3 linked regions of the Saccharomyces cerevisiae S288C genome follow. The gene in region 1 interacts genetically with each later gene. Each region holds a gene or a part of one and is shown in the gene's direction. Other genes may lie near its edges.

What was found.
Region 2: mutations in SWF1 (region 1) and MSO1 together harm fitness more than expected from each alone (negative genetic interaction), as found in Saccharomyces cerevisiae (4 studies listed by BioGRID, with this or other methods).
Region 3: mutations in SWF1 (region 1) and CDC42 are lethal when combined (synthetic lethality), as found in Saccharomyces cerevisiae (5 studies listed by BioGRID, with this or other methods).

The regions. Positions count from the first base shown.
Region 1 is NC_001136.10:700,688-705,858, forward strand, and holds SWF1 (palmitoyltransferase SWF1), read left to right. Parts: upstream 1-2,546; coding exon 2,547-3,557; downstream 3,558-5,171. Other genes in the region: YDR124W (uncharacterized protein), read left to right, coding at 1-602; ECM18 (alpha/beta hydrolase family protein), read right to left, coding at 710-2,071; ARO1 (pentafunctional protein ARO1p), read left to right, coding at 3,797-5,171. UniProt on the Saccharomyces cerevisiae protein: Palmitoyltransferase that targets several endosomal SNAREs. Palmitoylates the SNAREs SNC1, SNC2, SYN8 and TLG1, at cysteine residues close to the cytoplasmic end of their transmembrane domain.
Region 2 is NC_001146.8:712,523-715,556, reverse strand, and holds MSO1 (Mso1p), read left to right. Parts: upstream 1-1,901; coding exon 1,902-2,534; downstream 2,535-3,034. Other genes in the region: LYS9 (saccharopine dehydrogenase (NADP+, L-glutamate-forming)), read left to right, coding at 169-1,509; YNR048W (putative aminophospholipid translocase regulatory protein), read right to left, coding at 2,746-3,034. UniProt on the Saccharomyces cerevisiae protein: Involved in secretion. Component of the secretory vesicle docking complex.
Region 3 is NC_001144.5:603,712-606,530, reverse strand, and holds CDC42 (Rho family GTPase CDC42), read left to right. Parts: upstream 1-1,743; coding exon 1,744-2,319; downstream 2,320-2,819. Other genes in the region: BNA5 (kynureninase), read left to right, coding at 1-773. UniProt on the Saccharomyces cerevisiae protein: Involved in development of cell polarity during the cell division cycle, and essential for bud emergence. Affects signaling in the pheromone-response pathway through the STE20 protein kinase.

The DNA.
Region 1 (5,171 bases):
CATACATTAAAGGCAATGCTGGAAGGCCGGAATGGTGGCCAAAAGATGTAGAACATAAAGAGCCGGACCACCTCCAGAAAGCGGATCGACTGAAATTGATGTGCACGATAATTATGAATGTTCTACCGCAATCTCCCTTCAGCCTTGAGATTTTGGACGAGCTTACAGGAGTGACCGCCGCAATGACCATTTTTAAGAAAGAAACTGTGAAGAAAGTAATCATGAAAAATGTTTTCGAAATTGCGAAATGCTTGTGCAACAAAGATTTCAAGCAGAAGACCATATCACTTGATGATTTAAATGACCTAGCCCAAAAACAGAAAAAATCATACCATAGTCGTCGATTTGATGTAAATAAAATGGTTAAGGTAGAAAAAGATTTGTTACAACAGTCAAGTGGAAGCGATTCTTCACCCTCGATGATCCTTCCTTCAAAAGAAAGTGACACAGAGTATTTCCCCAGGGAATATCCGAAAGACCCTGTATCGGAGGATTATTCGAATAGCATATCTCGATTAGAAAATTTAGTGGAATTTGATCCGTTATTCCTCACTAAATTGGATGAATTAACTAGTAGCGATGATTGTAAAGATTTTATTTGAGAAAAATTTCAAAGCAAAGAAAAGAGGTGTGAGGAGCGCAAAAGCAAAAAGGGGGATAGCATACATTAACACATTTTTTGGCTCTTTGCTACTTGATTTGGTTGCTATCAAGGCGATTTAGTTTCGTCTGATAAGAAGGACACTATAGATTGGTTGAATGATTCTGGGTTATCTAAAAAAAGATTGTGACCGGAAGAAGGTATTTCTAAATAACTTGCTCCTTCTAGACAGTTCTTTAAATTGTTCAACTCTTTGACCATGAACATACCGGCTTTTTTATTCATCCAATCATATTGCCCATATACTATCAATAATTTCTTAACATTTAAATATTGCAGAGAATCCATCAAGGGGTCCTTTGCTAGGATACATCTTGAAAATAACGCTTTGAAAATATCTGTCGTAACCTCCGGTATACCTCCCTTACCGTAAAACAGTTCAAATATGTACTCTTTGTATGCCAACGATGGGACTCGGCTATATGCCGCCATTATGTAATTCCAACATAACTTAGCTCCTAATGGTCCCATCATTCTCAAAATGTGAAATTGTTGTTCAAATAAGTATTTTGGAATCATATTTCTTTTGGAGTAAAACTTGGAATTTGGATTTTTAAAATCGATAGTATAAAGAGTGTTGGAGTGGAAATTATTATTTACAGACCAGATATTCCTTTCCACTCCTAGTGGGGATACCAAGCAAAGTTTGTTTACCGAGTTTGGATATTTAACAGCATATTTAAAAGATAAATATCCGCCAAAAGAATGCCCCACAACATTCATTTTGCCCAATTTGTTATCAATGCGCCATTGCTCGATTCTGTCGAGATAGAAATCTTCGTACATTTGAATCACAAATTTATTGTGATTTGCATTTATTGTATATGGAACCTTAAATTTATTTTCTCCAATAAATTTGATATCTAACGGCAGAGGTGTTGTTGTATTGATCTCTAAAGACGGTACTGAAGACAATCCGCTCGCTGGCATGTCAATTGAGTATAAATTTCGGATGTGCTTGGACAGACCTGGATAATTTCTGAAAAAAGACATTGAAGATGCGGCATAGCCATGTATCAGCAATGTTGGTGTTCGAACAGTACTTGTGTTTTCATTTTGGAAATGCCATTGATTTATTTCGTTGAATAACTTATCATTCTTTTTAATACCTTCAACGTGTACCTCTTCCATAATACGTCTCTGTAATTCCTCCAGCCGCATATAAGTTTTGTGTGGGTTATTCAAATGGCTTGACCATAGCTTGAATCCAGATTTTTTGACAGCATTTTCCTCCTTGGGTCTAAGAATCCTTTCCAAAATTTTTCTCTGGAGACTCTTTTCACGACGTTTAACTTCCAGTAGGCTTCTATTACTGTGGAACGCTCTCTTCCACATGTAACATTTATATACATTCATTATCTGCCTCCTTAAACTTTCAGGGTCCATCAAGTACCTCTTTATTAAAAGCATTTTTCATTCGCTCATCCTTAAACTGGAAAGGCATAAGGAAACTGTCAGAATATATAAATAGAGGTGTAAAACATGTGAAGCTCTGTGGAGTTCTAAGCTGGAATCGAAACAGTTGTCTCAATTTTAGTAATGTCCAAGGGCTTTCCAGGAGGTCAGTATATTCAAAGCCAAAATAATTAATGTTTTGGTCTGAATTTTTATTTTTCAAAAATGAGGTGAAAACCTCCAACGAAACTTTTTAATTAAAACCATCCGATACAGAATTTTAAATCATCTAAAGCATTTATTCGGCATTTTATCCTTGAATAACGTACTATGCAACTCATATAAATACTACAATATACTTTCTCTTTAGGAAATTCGTAGCTATCAACAAAGGTAGTGTCATTGTATATATACTTCCGCCTTCCTAAAAAAAACTTCATTATGCCTCCAAAGAAGATATCTTTGTCTCCTAACATGAAAAGAACAAACAATGTCATGGAATCTACTATTTGTGCTGCTAATAGGATTCGTAGTTTTGATATTACTTTCGCCCGTCTTCAAGTCAACATGGCCATTTTCGACTTTCTATCGTAATGTGTTTCAGCCCTTCCTAGTGGATGACCAAAAATATCGTTGGAAGTTGCATTTAGTACCTCTTTTCTACACCTCTATTTACCTGTACCTAGTATATACATACCACATGAGAGTGGAGTCTACGATTAAGAATGAGCTATTCCTTTTAGAACGAATACTGATCGTGCCTATAATTATACTACCGCCGGTAGCATTAGGAATTCTAGCCATGGTAAGCAGAGCTGAGGATTCAAAGGATCATAAATCAGGCTCGACAGAGGAATATCCATATGATTACCTATTGTATTATCCTGCCATAAAGTGTTCGACATGCCGGATCGTCAAGCCTGCTAGATCCAAACATTGTAGCATTTGCAACCGATGCGTTCTCGTCGCCGACCATCATTGCATCTGGATAAATAACTGCATCGGAAAGGGAAACTACCTTCAATTCTACCTTTTCCTAATTTCCAACATATTCTCGATGTGCTACGCCTTTCTAAGGCTGTGGTACATTTCTTTAAATAGCACAAGTACGCTCCCTAGAGCTGTTCTGACTCTTACCATATTATGTGGATGCTTCACTATCATCTGCGCTATTTTCACGTATCTTCAATTGGCCATTGTAAAGGAGGGAATGACTACAAATGAGCAAGATAAATGGTATACCATTCAAGAGTATATGAGAGAAGGAAAACTGGTGAGATCATTGGATGATGATTGCCCATCTTGGTTTTTCAAATGCACAGAACAAAAAGATGACGCTGCTGAACCACTCCAAGATCAACATGTTACGTTTTATAGCACGAATGCCTACGACCATAAGCACTACAACCTTACACACTACATCACGATTAAAGACGCGTCCGAAATTCCCAATATATATGACAAAGGTACCTTCCTGGCCAATCTCACAGATTTAATATAGTAAATTGTCATGCATATGACTCATCCCGAACATGAAATTTTTTTTCACTCGGTTTTTTCTCACCGCCATAGATTCTAACCGCAAATGTCGAACAAATTCATTATACAAGCGGTTTATTAATATAGAAGGTAGGACGCCGACTCGTAACCATTAGTAACAGATCACAGCTATACTCGGTCGTTCAAGTTTATATAATCTCCTAGTTGAGAAATCCCTACGTAAGATAATTGTATATTACGATGGTGCAGTTAGCCAAAGTCCCAATTCTAGGAAATGATATTATCCACGTTGGGTATAACATTCATGACCATTTGGTTGAAACCATAATTAAACATTGTCCTTCTTCGACATACGTTATTTGCAATGATACGAACTTGAGTAAAGTTCCATACTACCAGCAATTAGTCCTGGAATTCAAGGCTTCTTTGCCAGAAGGCTCTCGTTTACTTACTTATGTTGTTAAACCAGGTGAGACAAGTAAAAGTAGAGAAACCAAAGCGCAGCTAGAAGATTATCTTTTAGTGGAAGGATGTACTCGTGATACGGTTATGGTAGCGATCGGTGGTGGTGTTATTGGTGACATGATTGGGTTCGTTGCATCTACATTTATGAGAGGTGTTCGTGTTGTCCAAGTACCAACATCCTTATTGGCAATGGTCGATTCCTCCATTGGTGGTAAAACTGCTATTGACACTCCTCTAGGTAAAAACTTTATTGGTGCATTTTGGCAACCAAAATTTGTCCTTGTAGATATTAAATGGCTAGAAACGTTAGCCAAGAGAGAGTTTATCAATGGGATGGCAGAAGTTATCAAGACTGCTTGTATTTGGAACGCTGACGAATTTACTAGATTAGAATCAAACGCTTCGTTGTTCTTAAATGTTGTTAATGGGGCAAAAAATGTCAAGGTTACCAATCAATTGACAAACGAGATTGACGAGATATCGAATACAGATATTGAAGCTATGTTGGATCATACATATAAGTTAGTTCTTGAGAGTATTAAGGTCAAAGCGGAAGTTGTCTCTTCGGATGAACGTGAATCCAGTCTAAGAAACCTTTTGAACTTCGGACATTCTATTGGTCATGCTTATGAAGCTATACTAACCCCACAAGCATTACATGGTGAATGTGTGTCCATTGGTATGGTTAAAGAGGCGGAATTATCCCGTTATTTCGGTATTCTCTCCCCTACCCAAGTTGCACGTCTATCCAAGATTTTGGTTGCCTACGGGTTGCCTGTTTCGCCTGATGAGAAATGGTTTAAAGAGCTAACCTTACATAAGAAAACACCATTGGATATCTTATTGAAGAAAATGAGTATTGACAAGAAAAACGAGGGTTCCAAAAAGAAGGTGGTCATTTTAGAAAGTATTGGTAAGTGCTATGGTGACTCCGCTCAATTTGTTAGCGATGAAGACCTGAGATTTATTCTAACAGATGAAACCCTCGTTTACCCCTTCAAGGACATCCCTGCTGATCAACAGAAAGTTGTTATCCCCCCTGGTTCTAAGTCCATCTCCAATCGTGCTTTAATTCTTGCTGCCCTCGGTGAAGGTCAATGTAAAATCAAGAACTTATTACATTCTGATGATACTAAACATATGTTAACCG
Region 2 (3,034 bases), on another chromosome or scaffold:
GAATTTCCAATGGAATTATCAGCAATAGATGATAGAAAGTAGCACAGAATTTGGCTTAATGGTATATAAACCGTAGGGTCCTGGTAAAATTACATGGGAAGGATCCTTAGGCAGTAGGGAAAACTTATCAGGACAATTGAGTTATATTAACGTATTATATATTTTAATATGGGAAAGAACGTTTTGTTGCTAGGATCTGGTTTTGTTGCACAACCTGTTATCGACACATTGGCTGCTAATGATGACATCAATGTCACTGTCGCATGTAGAACATTAGCCAATGCGCAAGCATTGGCCAAGCCCTCTGGATCCAAGGCTATTTCATTGGATGTTACCGATGACAGTGCCTTAGACAAAGTTCTGGCTGATAACGATGTTGTCATCTCTTTGATTCCATACACCTTCCATCCAAATGTGGTAAAGAGCGCCATCAGAACAAAGACCGATGTCGTCACTTCCTCTTACATCTCACCTGCCTTAAGAGAATTGGAACCAGAAATCGTAAAGGCAGGTATTACAGTTATGAACGAAATTGGGTTGGATCCAGGTATCGACCACTTGTATGCGGTCAAGACTATTGATGAAGTTCACAGAGCTGGTGGTAAGCTAAAGTCATTCTTGTCATACTGTGGTGGTTTACCAGCTCCTGAAGACTCTGATAATCCATTAGGATACAAATTTTCATGGTCCTCCAGAGGTGTGCTACTGGCTTTAAGAAACTCTGCTAAATACTGGAAAGACGGAAAGATTGAAACTGTTTCTTCCGAAGACTTAATGGCCACTGCTAAGCCTTACTTCATCTACCCAGGTTATGCATTCGTTTGCTACCCAAATAGAGACTCTACCCTTTTCAAGGATCTTTATCATATTCCAGAAGCCGAAACGGTCATTAGAGGTACTTTGAGATATCAAGGTTTCCCAGAATTTGTTAAGGCTTTAGTTGACATGGGTATGTTGAAGGATGATGCTAACGAAATCTTCAGCAAGCCAATTGCCTGGAACGAAGCACTAAAACAATATTTAGGTGCCAAGTCTACTTCTAAAGAAGATTTGATTGCTTCCATTGACTCAAAGGCTACTTGGAAAGATGATGAAGATAGAGAAAGAATCCTTTCCGGGTTTGCTTGGTTAGGCTTGTTCTCTGACGCAAAGATCACACCAAGAGGTAATGCTTTAGACACTCTATGTGCACGTTTAGAAGAACTAATGCAATATGAAGACAATGAAAGAGATATGGTTGTACTACAACACAAATTCGGTATTGAATGGGCTGATGGAACTACCGAAACAAGAACATCCACTTTAGTTGACTATGGTAAGGTTGGTGGTTACAGTTCTATGGCCGCTACTGTTGGTTATCCAGTTGCCATTGCAACGAAATTCGTCTTAGATGGTACAATCAAGGGACCAGGCTTACTAGCGCCATACTCACCAGAGATTAATGATCCAATCATGAAAGAACTAAAGGACAAGTACGGCATCTATCTAAAGGAAAAGACAGTGGCTTAAATAAGAAGAAATGTATCAAAAGGTTTATCATACGTAACAGTAACGGCACTTTATAAATCTTTCTTTAGTATTACTTATACTTTCATAAGGAAACGTAAAAAAAAAAAAACCGGAAAGAGGGACAAAATGGACTAGAACGTAATTGAGAGTGTAGTTCCTGAAGCTTGAACCGCTAGTAAGTCGTCTACCTTTAGTCTAAAAAGTATTGGCTATTGCATTTTATAGTCTTGCTTCTGATCAGAACGTATTAAATGAGCTCGTAAAGACTCTTAGGAGTTTTTCACTTTTAGAGATTAATACTATTAGGAAAGGTGCAAAAAAATAAAACGCCAACTAACTATTAGACGCTAGGCCCTAATACCAACTACCAGTATAACTAAGATTTCACGCATATGATGAGTCAAGTATCGCATTCCCAAGAAGGATCCGGGCGATTTTGGAACAAGTTTAAGTCGTCAACCAAATCGTTATCTACATCGTTGGCACATTTATCCATTAAAGCAGAAAAAGATGGTGATACTGTAAATACTACATTGGTCCATAAAGGGCTTGTGAAATTCTATGAAAATCAGCATCCTTTCCAGGGGTTCCCAGGATGGTTGGGGGAGAAGGAAGATTTACCGAACGAACGTAAAATATTAGATACTCAAGTGAAGCATGATATGAAGAAGCAAAACTCGCGTCATTTCTCGCCATCCTTTTCTAACAGAAGGAAGGCTTCTTCAGAAGATCCTATGGGTACACCTTCTTCAAACGGGAACACACCGGAGTACACGCCTGCGAGTAAATCGTTTCAAGATATATACAATAATCATACAAGCTCCTCTAGCGCGACACCGAGAAGAGCTTCATCACGGCCGACTAGACCTTCAGCAGGCCAAGAATTCAGGGCAAGTCTCGGTCGAAGTAAAACGTCGAACAGTTTCAACACCTCCAGCACGCCAACGCCGCCACCAGACGCAAGTAGTGGAGTAATGGCAATGAAGGACAGACTAAAGAGACGCAATAACGATTATGGATTTTAAATAGCACTATACCTTGCTGAAATAAAGCGAAAAGAACATTTAATGAATATATAGGTATCGTATATGTACTGAATAAAGTGTTTGATACAGAATGCAAGGAGATAATATAGTATGGTATATAACCTCGTCCTTATTTTGAATATACATGAAATTACAACGCTTCCCTAGAGACCGAATCAAACGCAGGGATTTTATAGTAAATGATAATCAATCATAAAATTTCTCTCAATGGAATACTAACGACACTACTCTCATCGAATGGGGTATCGCTGTTCTCAAAATTTAGGTAGCTATGATCATGCATAGGTCTTGGTTTGAAGATGACTTTTATCAGGAATAGTATGGCGAAAAGAGTTGCAATCCCGGCAACAATCAAATAAACAATCCCTAATGCCTCGTTTCCAGCACCGATAATACTGTTTGTGGTTAATACAAAAGATTTTGTTCCATAGAAAGATCTTACTGGGTAGTTGAGTTCTATATCAGCAATGTAAATACCC
Region 3 (2,819 bases), on another chromosome or scaffold:
GTGTTCAGTATTACACGGGGCAATATTTCGATATTGGCCGAATCACCTCATTTGCCCACCAATTCCCCGACATATTGGTTGGATGGGATTTAGCACACGCTGTAGGGAACGTCCCATTGCAACTTCATGATTGGGGTGTTGACTTTGCCTGTTGGTGTTCTTACAAGTACTTGAATGCCGGGCCTGGTGGAATTGGTGGCTTATTTGTCCACTCGAAGCATACTAAACCAGACCCTGCTAAGGAAAGTTTGCCAAGATTAGCTGGTTGGTGGGGCAATGATCCTGCTAAGCGATTTCAAATGCTGGAAGTATTCGAGCCGATTCCAGGAGCATTGGGATTCAGGCAATCTAATCCAAGCGTTATTGACACAGTGGCATTGAGAAGTTCATTGGAATTATTTGCGAAGTTTAATGGTATTAATGAAGTTCGTAAAAGATCGTTGTTGCTGACGAACTATATGACGGAACTGTTGGAAGCCTCCAAGTATTACAAACACCCTTTAAGGATCGAGAAATTACCATGTTTTTTTACAATATTAACTCCAACAAGCACAGATGAAGAACATGGCGCCCAATTGTCACTTTACTTCGATTCTGACACTGGAAAAGAGGATATTATGCCCAAAGTTTTCCAATATTTGCATGACCATGGTGTCATTGGCGATGCAAGAAGACCAAACGTAATTAGATTGGCTCCTGCTCCCTTATATAATACATTTTCAGATGTATACATTGCGGTGAATGCACTAAATGAGGCGATGGATAAGTTGTAGTCCTAGAGTGACCGCATCGCCTTCATCTTCTTTTGGATATTATATATGACGTAGTTTGAAATTCGTATACTTACTGATAGCGAACCTATAAATTTATACTTTCTTTCCAAGAATTAAAATAAATATCTGGGCCCGTGTATTACTTACCAGTTGCCGTGCATAGTCGTGAATCTTCTTTCATTTATCAACCTTCTTCCAATAATGAAGCTAACTTATCAGTGGTAGTACTGTTGAACGAAACAAGCCGGAACTCAAAAGGGTAATTTCGTGAAAAACAATCATCTACGGTATAAATAACAATTTAATTTACGTCTCTTTCGAAAATGCTCGTGTAGCTCAGTGGTTAGAGCTTCGTGCTTATAGCAACATTCGGTTTCCGAAGTTTCTGTGCCAAAGACCTTTCAAACAGGCCTTTAAAAGCAACGCGACCGTCGTGGGTTCAATCCCCACCTCGAGCACTTTCTCTTTTTTTTTTAAAAAAAGTTGCATTATTTCTATCAACTGTTGTAGCTACGTTACACCTAATTTTGTATTGTAGACTGTTAGATAATCCACATATACAGGTAAATACGGCACATTGTCTTCTAAACATCGCATTAAAGATGTCTTCCACCGTCGATTCAAGGGTCATTCAATACGGGTAATACTGCTTCCATTGGGCCCTTCCAAATGAAACAAGATACGGGAAAAAGTGATAAAAAAAAGCAAACAAGGTTGATTGATCGATGATAGACGCGATTCTTGGAAAAGGCAAGAGCAGCGTTTTGATAAATAGGTTCCAGGTGTACCGAGATATACTGATTATCCTTCTCTGTCATTCTTCACTTTTTGCAATAGGTTTCCTTTGTCGCAAAAAATTATATTCGTTATTTATTATACTATTCTATTTTCCTGAGGAGATAGGTTAACAAACGAATTAGAGAAGCAAAACTTATAAAACAAGAAATAAACGTATTAGCTCTTCCACAAAATGCAAACGCTAAAGTGTGTTGTTGTCGGTGATGGTGCTGTTGGGAAAACGTGCCTTCTAATCTCCTATACAACGAATCAATTTCCAGCCGACTATGTTCCAACAGTGTTCGATAACTATGCGGTGACTGTGATGATTGGTGATGAACCATATACGTTAGGTTTGTTTGATACGGCCGGTCAAGAAGATTACGATCGATTGAGACCCTTGTCATATCCTTCTACTGATGTATTTTTGGTTTGTTTCAGTGTTATTTCCCCACCCTCTTTTGAAAACGTTAAAGAAAAATGGTTCCCTGAAGTACATCACCATTGTCCAGGTGTACCATGCCTGGTCGTCGGTACGCAGATTGATCTAAGGGATGACAAGGTAATCATCGAGAAGTTGCAAAGACAAAGATTACGTCCGATTACATCAGAACAAGGTTCCAGGTTAGCAAGAGAACTGAAAGCAGTAAAATATGTCGAGTGTTCGGCACTAACACAACGCGGTTTGAAGAATGTATTCGATGAAGCTATCGTGGCCGCCTTGGAGCCTCCTGTTATCAAGAAAAGTAAAAAATGTGCAATTTTGTAGTCATATTAGTATATGCCCATCTTTTCTTAATCTATATCTAAAATTAACTTATATATACACCTTCCTATCCTTTTATTATCGTTGTATTTCATTTTTTCGCTTTGCTCAGAGTTGATTCTCTTTGTTTCTTGCGCCAGGATCATCCGTCTGTTCAAGGCGGAGTAGTGCAAAAAAGTCGAGCCGTCAAGCCCCAAACGTTCAATACTTCCATGTTCTTCAACGCTAAACGCGACATTTGCGAGTCCTACCACGTCTTCTCCGTTTACGGGCAAAAACACCTCTTAACATCAAAAATTTGGCTTTCGTGCTTTTTTCTGAAATATATTCGTTGCATAGACACGGTATGCATATGAAACATTCAGGCTAGCAATCAATACTTAAACCCTTTACGGGCGTGCATGATGTATCAGGAAACCAGTTTGAGAATGTCGCCCACCAAGCTCCATGGAAAGGCGCAAACCAATTACGCGGAACACAAAAATGGGCCTTTTTTTGATCGC